2 linked regions of the Macaca fascicularis genome follow. The protein of the gene in region 2 interacts with the protein of the main gene of each other region in a biochemical or structural test. Links are inferred from orthologs where the notes say so. Each region holds a gene or a part of one and is shown on either strand. Other genes may lie near its edges.

Region 1 (7,365 bases), on a different chromosome or scaffold from region 2:
GCTTGAGTAGCAGGAATTTTCTTTCTCACCGTCCTGGAGGCTGGAAGTCCAAGATCACAGTGTGCAGGTTTGGTTCCCAGTGAGGGCCCTCTTCCCGGCATGCACACAGCAGCCTTCACTTTTTTTTTGCTCACATGGGATTTCCTTGGTTCATGCATGCAGAGAGAGACAGCGCTCTCTCTCTCTCTCTTCTCTCTATCTCTGTCCCTGCCTTTTTTTTTTTTTTTTTTTTTTTTTTTTTGAGACAGTGTTTTACTCTTATTGCCCAGGCTGGAGTGCAGTGGCGTAATCTTGGCTCACTGCAACCTCCGCCTCCTGGGTTCAAGCGATTCTCCTGCCTCAACCTCCCAAGTAGCTGGGATTACACGTATGCGCCACCACACCAGCAGATTTGGTATTTTTAGTAGAGATGGTGTTTCACCGTGTTGGTCAGGCTGGTCTCGAACTCCTCACTTCAGGTGATCCACCCGCCTCGCTCTCCCAAAGTGCTGGGATTACAGGTGTGAGCCACTGCGCACGGCCGTCCCCGTCTTTTTATAAGGAAATTAATTTATCATAAGGGCCCCACTCTTACAGCTAATTGTTTGTTTTTTGTTTTTGTTTTTTTTTTTTGAGACGGAGTTTTGCTCTTGTGTCCCAGGCTGGAGTGCAATGGTGTGATGCCAGCTCACCGCAACCTCTGCCCCGCGGATTCAAGCGATTCTCCTGCCTCAGCCTCCCAAGTAGCTGGGACTACAGGCATGCGCCACCACGCCTGGCTAATTTTTTATTTTAAGTAGAGACAGGGTTTTTCCATGTTGGTCAGGCTGGTCTGAAATACCTGACCTCTGGTGATCTGCCTGCCTCAGCCTCCCAAAGTGCTGGGATTACAGGCATGAGCCACCATGCCTGGCCAGCTAATCTAATCTTAACCTTCCAGAGGCTCCATCTCCAAATATCACATTAGGGTAATTAGGGCTTAAAAGTATGGATTTTGGTGAGGTGGCACAAACATTCAGTTCCTAACAGTGGCATTTAGTGCACTCACAGTGTCTTGCAGTCACAACCTCTCTCTTGTCCCAAGATACTTTCCTTACCCCAAAACAAAACTCCATATCCATCATTCCCTCCAGCCTGTGGCAACCACCAATCTGCTTTCTGTCTCTTGGGATTTACCTATTGTGGATATTTCATATAAATTGAATCATGTATGACTGTTTATAACTGACATCTTTCACTTGGCACAATATTCTTGAGATTCATCCACCTTGCAGATGTATCACCTTACATCATCCCTTTCTGTGGTAGGGGGACTTTGAAATTTTTTTTTTTTTTTTTTTAAGATGGAGTCTACTCTTGTCACCCAGGCTGGAGTGCAGTGGCACAATCTTGGCTCACTGTAACCTCTGCCTCCCAGCTTTAAGCGATTCTCCTGTCTCAGCCTCCCAAGTAGCTGGGATTATAGGTGCCTGCCACCATACCCGGCTAATTTTTTTGTATTTTTAGTAGAGACGGGGTTTCACCATGTTGGCCAGGCTGGTCCCAAACTCCTGACCTCAGGTGATCTGCCCACCTCAGCCTCCCAAAGTGCTGGGATTACAGGTGTGAGCCACTGCACCCAGCCAGGACTTTGAACTTTAAGTATCAGAATAGAGGACACCGTTTCCTCTGAAATTACCAAAGGTGAGCAAGGAAACCAATACATACTTGCCCTCTTTCATCTCTAATCGCTGACTACAGTATGTGAAGGAAGTCTATCTAAAGCAGTGAAGTCCAAACAGGAATGTGGGAAGAAGCCAAAGAAGGATGCTCACAGCTGCAGATCTCAAGGCAGAGTGAGAAGTGATGGTTCTTAGATGTGGACCAGGGACTGGCATGCTGCACAGGGTGGCAATGAACACTCCCCTGGCCGGGGTTGGTACCAAGGAGAATTGCGTGAGGCCGACACAGAAATGAAATAGACACTGCTGAGGATAGTAAGGGACGCGGATGATGGGATTGTAGAAAATGTAGAAATAAAATGGACATAAACAAAGTATTAGAGAAAAAATGATAGAACCGAGTAATCATTCTAAATTTATAATTGATGTATCAAAGAAGGAAACTGAATAATGGGTTAGAAAAAATTGTTGACCGACTGTGATCTCTGTAGGGATAAGGACACAGCTTGTTCTTCAGTGTGAAAAGCTCACCTTTAGCTCTGCTTTGAGAAGTCTTGTTAGAATACAGGACTCATCAGCACAGTTATAAGACAAGGGGAAGGAGGGAGAGAGGCAGAGACTCATGGTCCAGAAGAGAGGGGGTTAATTCCTAAGGCAAGCTCATGGGAAGAAGGGAAAGGATGGAGTAACAGGGAAGGAAAGGAGTCTGGGTAGTGATGTAGAACTGCTAGATAAGGGTCTTTTAGAAACAGTGTTTGGCATGGAGGAGAAGACACAAGCAGAGAGGTTAGGCAAAGGGGGTTTTTATTGTGCTCATTAACAAGGACACAGAAGCTTAGGGAGTTCTGAGTTTGGGTTTGTACTACAAGTTTCAAATACACTGGTGAGTTTTCCTTTGAAAAGAGTATGTTGAAAATCATGAGCTTTCATAGTTGCTGTGTTCCTTGTCTGAAGTAACGTTTGAAGATAAGAAGAGGGAGAACTTTGAACGTGGCAACCTGGAACTGGAGAAACGAAGGCAAGCTCTCCTGGAGCAGCAGCGCAAAGAGCAGGAGCGCCTGGCCCAGCTGGAGCGGGCAGAGCAGGAGAGGAAGGAGCGTGAGCGCCAGGAGCAAGAGCGCAAAAGACAACTGGAACTGGAGAAGCAACTGGAAAAGCAGCGGGAGCTAGAACGGCAGAGAGAGGAGGAAAGGAGGAAGGAAATTGAGAGGCGAGAGGTAAGCAGGCGAGAGTGGAGCCACCCCGAGTTAGTGTGCAATTACCCCCTTTCAGAATTATCCAAGTGATCTATTCATGCCATCTTTGTCTTTTTACAGTTCAGTAGTTTTAGTATATTCCCAAAGCTGTGCAGCCATCATCCCTAATTCCAGAACATTTTCATCACTCCAGCTCCTTACCCATTAAGCAGCTACTCCCCATTTCTTTCTCCCTCCAGCTCCTGTCTATCATTAATTTACTTTCTGTTTTTCTAGATTTACCTATTCAGGACATTTTTTATAAATGGAATCATCCATATATGGACTTTTGTTTCTGGCTTTCATTTAGCATGATGTTTTCAAGTTTTATCCACATTGTAAAATGAATCAGTCCTTTATTCCTGTTTATGGCTGAGTAATATTTTATTATATGGGTATACCATGTTTTTTAATTCATTCAGCAGTTGATGGTCATTGTGGCTGTTATAAACAATGCTGTTATGAACATTAATGTACAAGTTTTTGATGATACAATTTTGTAACAAACCACTGATACCAGTTACGTGTTTTTCCGAACTGTTTTCTCTGTATACACCTATATAAAAATATAAAGGTTTATATGGTGGAGAGTATAAGGGTTGTGCAATTTTTTAAAAAACCACTGTAATAGTGTCATACCAATTACATTGTTCTGCAACCTTCCTTTTGTTTGTTTGTTTGTTTGAGACAGAGTCTCACTCTGTCACTTCCAGGCTGGAGTGCAGTGGCGTGATCTCAGCTTACTGCAACCTCTGCCTCCTGGGTTCAAGCGATTCTCCTGCGTTCAAGCGATGCTCCTGCCTCAGCCTCCTGAGTAGCTGGGATCACAGGTGCCCACCACAACACCCAGCTAATATTTCATATTTTTGGTAGAGATTAGGTTTCACCATGTTGGTTAGGCTGATCTCGAACTCCTGACCTCAGGTGATCCGCCCGCCTCAGCCTCCCAAAGTGCTGGGATTACAGGCATGAGCCACTGCACCCGGCCTGTGCAACCTTCTTTTTAAACTCTTTTAAAAATATGTGTGGGACATCCTCCCTATATTCTATGGAAGTCTTCATAAATTTAGCACCATACCTGGAAAGGGACTAAGCCAATCTTGTCTCTCTTTCCAATTTTAGTACATTACTGCAGAAGCAACACATAATTCTCTCATGTTAATGGAATAATAAAAATGAGGAATTTTTCGATATAAAAAAATAGCCTGAGTGCCATGCCTCAAGCCTGTAATCCCAGCCCTTTGGGAGGCTGAGGAGGGATGATCACTTGAGGCCAGTAGTTGGAGGGCCACTGCATTCCAGCTGGGGTGACAGAGCAAGACCCTGTCTCAAAAAAAAGAAAGAAACGAAACTTATAGCCATAACTCCTTTTTTTTTGAGACAGAGTCTCACTCTGTCGCCCAGGCTGGAGTTAAATAATAATTTCTCTTTTGGTGGAGTAAAATCAACTTTTGTTTGTTTTTGTTCAGGGGTGTTTTAGTTTGATTTTACTACATAAAGAAATTTTCCTTCTTGGTGTGTCAGTAAGTAAGAAGGAGCACTTTTAGTTAGTACATCAAGCATTCTTGAAGGTATAAAGAATGGAATTCTAATGGGGAAATGATCCTGTCATCTTACATAAATATAATATTACATAAATATAATAGCCAGCTCTGTATATTCCCTTTATTCCCATAGAAGGAATACCGTATTTTTATAAGTTACTTTTTGTTTTGTAATGTGATTTCTTGTAATGTTTATTTTTTAATCCCTAAAAGGAAGGACTTACTAGATGTCACTTTTGTGAAGAGACATTGTGTAGTGTAAGAACTGAAAAATTAGTAATTTGTCTTTGTAAATGTCACAGGCTGCAAAACGGGAACTTGAAAGGCAACGACAACTTGAGTGGGAACGGAATCGAAGGCAAGAACTACTAAATCAAAGAAACAAAGAACAAGAGGACATAGTTGTACTGAAAGCAAAGAAAAAGACATTGGAATTTGAATTAGAAGCTCTAGTGAGTGAAGTTTGGTTATACTTTGGAAATATACTAAGATGGAACCATTAAAAACAGTAATAATTTTTAATTACTCTTTCATTTGTTCAAGAATGATAAAAAGCATCAACTAGAAGGGAAACTTCAAGATATCAGATGTCGATTGACCACCCAAAGGCAAGAAATTGAGAGCACAAACAAATCTAGAGAGTTGAGAATTGCCGAAATCACCCATCTACAGCAACAATTACAGGTGAGGAAATATGCCTCTTAAATGCTATTAAACTGGCATCCTTTTCTCTAATTCATTTCATTTACTTATTTATTCAGTAAACATTAAGCAACTATCTTGTATTAGGCACTGGGAAGCAAAAATGAAGTAGACAGGGTCCTTGTGTGAAAAGTAGCCTGTCAAGGAGACAGACTCAGCAGATGTTTATTGAGCACTGCTTTGGGCCAGATGCTTTTGCAGTTTCTGAGGCTACAGCAGGGACAGACACTCTGTCTTCTGGGAGCTTACCCTCTCTGTTTGCCGGAGGAACAGAGACTAACAAAATAAAGTGTGTACTGTATTAGAAGATGAAAAGTGCTAGGGAGAGTGAGTAGGGAAGGGAATAGAGAGTCCTAGGGATAAGAAAGGTTGTGATTTTAACTAAGGTAGCCAAGACAGGTCTTTCTGGATGGTGACATTTGAGCAGAGACTTGAAATTAATGATAGGCTAAGCCATGTGGGTATCTGGCAGAGCAAGATCTAGGCAGAGAAATAGCAGTGCCAAAGTCCTGAGGCCATGGCAGGACTCTTGAGATGCCAGTTACAGCAAGGAGACTACTGGTTAGAGCAGGTGGGAGCTGGATCACACAGAACCTGTAGTCCAACAGGACTTTGGCTTTACTGCGATAATTATAATAAATAAGTACACTTAAGTATTTTAGGGGGTCATATGAGAGCTATACGTATAGTAAATAGTTGGAGACGCACAGAGCACTATTAGTAGTTCTGTCTTCATTTTAAACCCTATCCAAAGTTGTTATGATATAACCTGGTTTGGTATCAAGTGTTGAACATCAAATTCATGTAAATGTTGCCTGCAGATGATCATATTTGTCTGTGACTCTTTTATGTCAGACTTTTTCTCAGCATGATGTTTTTGAGATATATCCATGTTATTGAGTGAATGACTCCTTTGTTTCTTTTCATCACAGAGTAGTGTTTCCTTATATGTTCATTCACCTATTGGTTGATATTCAGGTTCTTTCCAGTTTGGAACTTTTATGAATAAAACTGCAGTGAGCATTTATGTACAAGTCTTTATGCGGAAATGGTTTATTTCTCTTGGGTAAATTTTTAGGAACGGAACTACCATGTCATATAAGTATATATTTAACCCCATAAGAAACTGTCAGGCCGGGCACAGTGGCTCACACCTGTAAACCCAATACTTTGAGAGGGCAAGGTAGGAGGATTGCTTGAGCCCAGGAATTTGAGACCAGCCTGGGAAACATCTCTACATTAAAAAAATTTAAAAATTAGCTGGCATGGGGGCATTCACCTGTAGTACCTGCCTGAGGCAGGAGGACCACTTGAGCCCAAGAGATGGAGGATGCAGTGAGCTATGATTGAGCCACTGACAGCCTGGGCCACAGACTGAGACCCTGTTCCAAAAAATAAAAGAGAGAAGAGAAAGAAAAGCAAGAGAACTGTCAAACTGCACAGAGTTTGTACCATTTTACATTCTGATCATTTAATTTGTATTTCCCTGAAGGCTAATGATGTTGGGAATCATCTTACATGTTTATTGGCGAGTATCTTTTACTGTGTATCTTTGTTGAAGTGTCTGAACAAATCTTTTGCCCATTTTTTATTGGGCTGTTTGTCTTACTATTTATTTGTAAAAGTTCTTTTTATGTTCTTAACAAGTCATTTGTCAGATACATGTTTTGCAAATATTTTCTCACAATCTGGATTGGGTTTAATTTTTGTAGTGGTATTTTTTAAAGGGCAGAAGTTTTAAATTTTGATAAAGTTCAGTTTACCATTTTTTTTCTTTTGGTGTTCATGCTTTTTATGTTCTATCTAAGAAATCTTTGACTACCCCATGATTGCAGATATTTTATTTTCTTCTAGAAGTTTTTGGGGTTTAAAAAAATTAGTTTTAAGTTTTTATAAATTGCAAAAAAACTTTAAAATTTTAAGTTTCATAGTTGTATCTTATATGTTTAGGTCTATGAGCTATTTCAAGTTGATTTTTGCATATAGGGTAAAGGTTGAGGTTTTTTTTTTTTTTACATACTGATACACAGTTGTTATAACACGATTTATTAAAAACACTGTCTTTTCTCCCATTGAGTTACCTTGGTAGCTTGTTGAAAATCGGTTAAACATATTTGTAATGGTCTATTCTGGACTCTATTCTGTTCTTTAGATCTGTCTGTCCTTTACCAGTATCTCACTCTGTCGATACCTAATTTTTGAAGTCAGGTGATACGAATTCTCTGTTATTGTTCTTCTTTTTTC
Region 2 (7,365 bases):
GTTCCCCCAGCTCAGTTCCTACCCCCGGTTACGAGAGGAGACAGAGCGAATCGTCACCACTTACATCCGGGAACGGGAGGGGAGAACCAAGGACCAGGTACTGGCCTTTTGTCTTCTTTATTGGGTATAATTTACATGCAGTAAATGTCAAGTGTACTGTTCCGTGCGTGCTGACAGCTGCATATGGCAAAGTAACCCTCACCTCAATCAAGATACGGAGCAGTTCTATCACCTCCTAAAATCCCTGTCCCTATGCCTCTTTGTAGTCAACCCCTCAAAAACCCACAGGCCAGACTGGGTGTAGTAACTCACGCCTATAATCCAGCACTTAGGGAGCCTCAGGCAGGAGGATTGCTTGAGCCCAGGAGTTCGAGACCAACCTGGGCAACACAGCAAGACCTTGTCTCTACAAAAACATAAAAAAATTAGCCAGGCGTGGTGGCACATGCCTGTGGTCCCAGCTCCTTGGGAGGCTGAGGTGGGAGGATCCCTTGAGCCCACAAGATCAAGGCTTCAGTAAGTTATGGTTGTGCCATTGCTCTCCAGCCTGGGAGAAAGAGCGAGACCCTGTCTCTTAAAAAAAAGAAGCAGCAAAGGAAATCCCCAGGCCCTGGCCACCACCAGTCCGCTCCCTATCCTGTAGTCTTTCCAGTGGACTCCCACAGTGTGAGGCCCATTGACTCTTGACTCCCTTCCTGCCTCCCTTCTTCCCTCCCTCCCTCCCTCCCCTCGACGTTGTGCATTTGGGAGCCAAGCCTGTTGTTTGTTGTATCTGCAGTTTGCTGCCTTGATCACTAAGCAGTCTTCCAGGGAATGGATGGAGCACAGCATGGGCCTCCACTTGCCTGCTGGAGGGTGTTTGGGATGCTTTTTGTGTGTGTGGGTGTGTGTGTGTGTGTGTGTGTGTGTGTGTGTGTGTGTGTGTGTGTGTTTTCGTTTTTTGGTTTTTGTTTTTTTTTTTGAGACAGAGTTTTGCTCTGTCGTCCAGGCTAGGGTGCAGTGGCACGATCTCGACTCACTGCCACCTCCACTTCCCAGGTTCAAGCGATTCTCATGCCTCAGCCTCCCAAGTAGCCAGGACTACAGGCCTATGCCACTACACCCACCTAATTTTTGTATTTTTAGTAGAGACAGATTTTCACCATGTTGGCCAGGCTGGTCTTGAACTCCTGACCTCAGGCAATCTGCCCGCCTCAGCCTCCCAAAGTGCTGGGATTATAGGCATGAGCTACCACACCCAGCCTGCTTTTTCTGTTTCAGCATTTAACACTTTCTTGCAAAGGCTTGCAAGCACACACCCAAAGTCTCTGCCCCCCCTTGCAGCTGAGACTGTCACCCACTAAGCACTGGGCCATCCTTACACTCTTCTGCAGCCTCAGCTTCCCAAGTAGCTGGGATTACAGGAGTGAGCCATCACGCTTGGATAATTTTTGTATTTTTAGTAGAGATGGGATTTTGCCATGTTGGCCAGGCTGGTCTTGAACTCCCGACCTCAAGTGATCCGCCTGCCTCAGCCCCCCAAAGTGCTAGGATGACAGGTGTGAGCCGCCGCTTCCGGATCTGTTTTGAGTCACTTTCTGTCAGTTGTCCTCTGTGTTCTTTTTACAACTGTTTGTTGAAACCAGAGCTTAATTAAGCCCTTGCTTGTTATGTCACCATGTTTAAAATGGTCCTTCTCCGCTTGCCGTTGATGGGGATGAAATCGGCTCATTCGTCCTGCAAAGAGGCGCCCAGTTTTGATTTGGCCAATTGCTCCCTCAGGGCACCGGTGCGCCTATGCCTCAGAGCTGCTGTAGCTTGGAAATTGTACCAAAAGTCTGGAAGAGTCTGATTCTTTTTGTTGTTACTATTAGTGAGAATGCTGCTGGCCCTTCCACAGCCCCTGGTGCTCACCTGCCATGCTCCCGGGCCGGATCTGAGAGCGCTGGGTTGAGGGGACTCAGGCCTTATTAAACCAGCCACGCTTGCTCCCACAGACGGAGCACCCTGGCATTTTCCAGCGGGCCGACAAGTCCGGGTGCCTTGCCCTACTTTATTTTCGGAAACTTGAAGGTGCAGTGAGGGGAAGTGACTGGCCCAGGGCCAGGGGAGTCCAGTGAGGAGCATCCGAGCCCCTCCTCCCCAGCAGCCTGGCCTGTTGTGAATGGGAGCCAAGCCAGTGAGCTGCCTGGATCCATGGTTCCCATAGACCAACTTCATCCTGGGCAAAGGACAAGAAACATGAGGGAGGGAGAGTTTCAGCAAGTGCTGTGGACTCGCAAGCCCTGCTCTTTACCTGAGACTTTACCTTTCTAGCTTAAGTATGTGTGTGTGTGCATGTGTGCACACACGTGTGTGTTTTATTTTAGTGTTCATAGTTGGCCAAATTAGCTTCGCAGTTTTAATGCAGCACTTTGAACACGCCAGGCGCTAAAGACTTTACAGGGCGGGCACGGTGACTCACGCCTGTAATCCTAGCACTTTGGGAGGCCAAGGTGGGCGGATTGCCTGAGCTCAGGAGTTCGAGACCAACCTGGGCAACATGGTGAAAACCCGTCTCTACTAAAATACAAAAAATTAGCCGGGTGGTGTGGTGTGTGCCTGTAGTCCCAGCTACTCGGGAGGCTGAGGCAGGAGAATTGCTTGAACCCAGGAGGCGGAGGTTGCAGTGAGCCGAGATTGCACCATTGCACTCCAGCCTGGGTGACACAACAAGACTCTGTCCCCGAAAAAGAAAAAGAGATTTTATAAGGCAGTGGCTTGCAATGGCTCACTCTTGTAATCCCAGCACTTTGGGAGGCCGAGGCAGGAGGATCACTTGAGCCTAGGAGTTCAGGACCAGTCTGGGCAACATAGTCAGACCCTGCCTCTACAAAAAAAAAAAAAAGGAAAATCAGCCAGGTGTGGTGGCACATGCCTGCGGCCCCAGCATCTTGGGAGGCTGAGGCAGGGGTGTTGCTTCAGCCCAGGCGTTTGAGGCTATGATTGTTCTACTGCACTCCAGCCTGGGAGACACAGTAAGTTCTTTTCTCAAAAAAAAAAAAAAAAAAAAAAAAACCAGGCGCAGTGGCTCACGCTTGTAATCCCAGCACTTTGAGAGGCCAAGGCGGGCAGATCATGAGGTCAGGAGTTCGAGACCAGCCTGGCCAAGTCAATGAAACCCTGTCTCTACCAATAATGCAACAATTAGCTGGGCATGATGGTAGGCGCCTGTAATCCCAGTCACTTGGGAGGCTGAGGCAGGAGAATCGCTTGAACCCAGGAGGCGGAGGTTACAGTGAGCCCAGATCATGCCACTGCACTCCAGCTTAGGCGACAGAGTGAGTCTCGAAGAAAAAAAAAAAAAAAAAGACTGCACATTATTAAACCCTTGGCAGTTGGGCCTCCTGTCACCCTATTCCACAGGTCAGTAACGTGAGGCCCAGGGTCACATGGCCAGTTAGTGGCTCAATCAGAACTCCAGACCTTGGGGACAGTGGCCCTGCCTGTGACTGGCCCATCGGGCTGCCTGGCTGTGCTCTGTTGTCCAGGCTTTCTTGCCTGTGAGGGTGTGGGGAGTGCGACACCAGCCCCCTGTTCTGTCTGGGAAGCCTCCTAGTTCGCACGCCTTCTCTGCTGGCAAGACCAGGAAATGCTCCTGTCACCACCCCCGCTTACCAGGCTTGGCCCTGTACTCACAGTGACCCCCACTTTCCCCCAGATTCTTCTGCTGATCGACATTGAACAGTCCTACATCAACACGAACCACGAGGACTTCATCGGGTTTGCCAAGTAGGTACTTTTGGAGACAGTGGCTGGTCGGGCGGCACCAGTCCTTACTCTTAGATCCAAGGAGGTGATCGAGTTGGGATTCTCTGAGAGGGTGGGGGTCACACAGTCTCTATCGGGGGTCCTGGGGTGAAGGCAGAGCCACCTGAGAATATCTGGACACTCTCCTGGGCTGATAGTGGTCCACTGTCCCAAACCAACGCGCCTTCTGTGGGGCATCCCTGTGGTTAGTTTCGGGAGAGGGCAGTGCTATGGTCAGACCGGCAGGGAGAGGGCGAAGCCAGCCAGCTGCTGCACCCCCTCTCCCACAGGACTTGTCAGAGCCTTTAGCGACCAGTGGGCAGCTTTTCGCAGACTCTGCCCCTTCATGGACAGCATCTCGTGGGCTCAGGGCTCCAGAAGCTGCTCTTTGGGAACTGCTGCCTGGGGTCTCCCTCGCTTCAAGGCGTACACTGTAGATTTAAACCAGAACTTTCCATGGCACCTAGATGAGGGCCCAGATCGGGGAGCTCTGATTTCAGCAGGATGTCGCTATCAGTGCTAGTGGTCTCAGGCATCACCCGCCGATTCCTTCAGTCCCTCGGCGCGCCTGGGCCTCACTCAGATGGTTGGGGAGGCTCACGCAGGCCTTCCTGCCTGAGGCGGGCTGGATGGTGCCGCTGGTATGCCCTCTCGTGAGGCCCTGTGACAGAGCAGTGGGCAAACCCACACCCAGCTCCCCACCCTCAGAGGAAGGCCCCATGCAGGGAACCAACAGGGACACAGGCCGTTACAGCGTAGTGTGCTGGGTGGGGCCGTGCGGGGCCTGTCGAGGTCCAGAGGGCGGCTGTTGGGCCTTGCCTTGACGGGCCAGGCAGGCTTCCTAGGGGAGGGCCTCTAGAGCCAAATCTCAGGCTATGTGGTTACCGGATAGAACGTTTATTGGTGCACCTGACAAAGCTGATTGAGGACCTGTTCTGTGCTGGGCACCAGGTAGGTGGGGAGAAAGGAGGAAGGCAAAGAAAGGAATGAGGGCGGCCGGGCGCGGTGGCTCAAGCCTGTAATCCCAGCACTTTGGGAGGCCGAGACGGGCGGATCACGAGGTCAGGAGATCGAGACCATCCTGGCTAACACGGTGAAACCCCGTCTCTACTAAAAAAATACAAAAAACTAGCCGGGCGCAGTGGCGGGCGCCTGTAGTCCCAGGTACTCGGGAGGCTGAGGCAGGAGAATGGCGTGAACCCGGGAGGCGGAGCTTGCAGTGAGCTGAGATCCGGCCACTGCACTCCAGCCTGGGTGGCAGAGCGAGACTCCGTCTCAAAAAAAAAAAAAAAAAGAAAGGAATGAGGGCCTCATCAGAACCCCTCCTAGAGATGAGCTGAGGGCCCTGACTGGGCCTCCCCTGCCTGTGGGAGGCAGCCCCCCGCCCTGCGCTCCCGGCTGACAGGTGTGTATGGGCTCACAGCGCTGGTCCCCATCTTTGGTTTGCTGCTGTTTTCCTCACCTTGATGTCTCTGCTTCTCGCACTTCATCCACAGTTCCTTCTCACAATCTCTCCTGTTTTTCCTTTGACCACTCCACTCTTTCCTCTGGATTCCTGGGCCTTCCCACTTACCCCAGCTGTTACTATACTGAGCAGCTGGTGACCTGGTGGGTATTGCCTGCTGTGTGCCTTTGCCCTGGTGTGTGAACGGGTACGCCCTGGCCGGGTGGCCCCAGCCCTGGGTGGGACGTCCCCGGGGCCCGCTGAAGAGCTATGGGGTGCTGAAGAGCCAGGGCCACCGTTGGGCCTCCGGGCCAGGACCTTGACCGCACCAGCTGTAGCCCCTGCTGTTTCAGAGCCTGCAGGCTGGGGAGGTGGAGTCTCTAAGCAAAGTGTCACAAGGACGATGAGAGCAGGAAGAGAGGGTAGGGGATAGGCTGTGGGAAAGGGGAGCCAGGGATGTGGCCTGGAGAGATCTTCCTGAAGAAGTCAGGTGATGCAGGGGGCACACCAGAGAATTGAACCTAGGGAAGGACGGCTACAAGACCAGGCAGGTGGAGATAAGAGAGCCAGAGGCCAGGCCCTGTTATCAGGAGGGCCCTGCAGGTCCAGGGGAGGATTCTGGATTTTCCCCCAAGACACCAGGATGCTTCCGATTAGGTCCAGGCTCAGGAGAGGGGCCACCTTGTGGGCTGCTATTTGAGGGAGCCCTGGCAAGGGTGGGAGCCAGGAGGCCCTTAGGAAAAGCACCTCTGGGGCATCACTTGTCACCCAGCCATCACTGTGAAGGTTGGCTCAGCTCAGTGCCACCTCCTTCAGATGCTGCTGATCAAAATCCTTCTTGTGCTTAGATGTTCTGGACTTCCCATTACCCTCCAAATAAAATATTATAAACAGGGCCCAGGCCTGGTGCAGTGGCTCATGCCTGTAATCCCAGCACTTTGCAGGAGGCCAAGGTGAGTGGATCGCTGGAGCCCAGGAGTTTGAGACCAGCCTGGGCAACATGGTGAAACCCTGTCTCTATAAAAAAATACAAAAATTAACTGGGCGTGATGGTGGTGCGTAATCTCAGCTACTCAGGAGGTTGAAGTGGGAGAATGACCTGAGCCTGGGAAGTCAAGGTAGTGAGTCATGATCACACCAGGGCTCTCCAGCCTGGGTGACAGAGTGAGACTCTGTCTCAAAAATAAATAATAAACAGCCCAGATGAGCAGCCCTATAATAAACTTATTGAATGTTGGGGATAACATTGGATAAAATTCTGCCTTTGTTCTTAGTTTTCCAGTTCTTAGTTTTCCAGCCTTTTCTGATCTAGAAACAGAAGCCTACTTTCTCCCTTATCCTACAGCCAACTTGCACTCTAAAACAAAACCCCCAAGGTAGTCAGGAAAGGAAAGTGACCAAGCTGATTTGCTTCTCCATATTGTTCTGAAAGTTTCAGCCAAAGCAATAAGAAAAGAAAAGAAAATGTGATGGATAAGTAACAGGAGATGTACGTTGTTTGCAAGTGATCATATGATTGTCAGAGTAGAAAATATACTGGAACCGTAAGGTGGTGGAGTAGGTGTCCACATATAAAATATAGTGGGTTTTGTCTATGTTGGCATGAACTAGCCAGGAAGGAGGATGGATAAAGAAGAAAAGAGATCTGGGATTGTGGCTGCATAGGAACCTTATAGAAACACACCCTGTAGACCTTGGATGTCCTCTAAATTTGGGTCAGGAGTCGTGCAAGATACGTGCCGTTTCATGGCCAGCAGCTGTCCCACACTCTGATGTCGAGGACTGGATGGCTCTGTGGTTAGAGCCACTTACAGGCTGGTGTTGGGATCAAATCATGAGAAGAGTAGGAAGAAGGGCCGGGCGCAGTGGCTCATGCCAGTAATCCCAGCACTTTGGGAGGTGGAGCCAGGTGGATCCCTTGAGTCTAGGAATTTAAGACCAGCCTGGGCAACATAGCGAAATCTCATCTCTATAAAAAATCAAAAATTAGCTGAGCCTGGTGGTGTGCACCTTTGGTTCCAGCTACCCGGGAGACTGAGGCAGGGGAGTTACATGAGCCCGGGAGGTCAAGGCTGCAGTGAGCTGTGATTGCGCCACCGCAGTCATCTTAGGCAACACCTTCTCACAATTCCTCTTAGAAACTCCGGGATCCT

The links. The genes of interacting proteins can lie anywhere in the genome.
Region 1: the proteins of DNM2 (region 2) and ITSN1 form a complex in vitro, tested with the Homo sapiens proteins (2 studies listed by BioGRID and IntAct, with this or other methods). The link is inferred for Macaca fascicularis from reciprocal best matches to the Homo sapiens genes DNM2 and ITSN1.

Annotation. Positions count from the first base shown.
Region 1 is NC_088377.1:13,152,466-13,159,830, reverse strand, and holds part of ITSN1 (intersectin-1), read left to right. Parts: intron 1-2,594; coding exon 2,595-2,857; intron 2,858-4,721; coding exon 4,722-4,871; intron 4,872-4,962; coding exon 4,963-5,103; intron 5,104-7,365. UniProt on the Homo sapiens protein: Adapter protein that provides a link between the endocytic membrane traffic and the actin assembly machinery. Acts as a guanine nucleotide exchange factor (GEF) for CDC42, and thereby stimulates actin nucleation mediated by WASL and the ARP2/3 complex.
Region 2 is NC_088393.1:11,367,378-11,374,742, forward strand, and holds part of DNM2 (dynamin-2), read left to right. Parts: intron 1-10; coding exon 11-97; intron 98-3,679; coding exon 3,680-3,750; intron 3,751-5,346; coding exon 5,347-5,376; intron 5,377-7,365. UniProt on the Homo sapiens protein: Catalyzes the hydrolysis of GTP and utilizes this energy to mediate vesicle scission at plasma membrane during endocytosis and filament remodeling at many actin structures during organization of the actin cytoskeleton.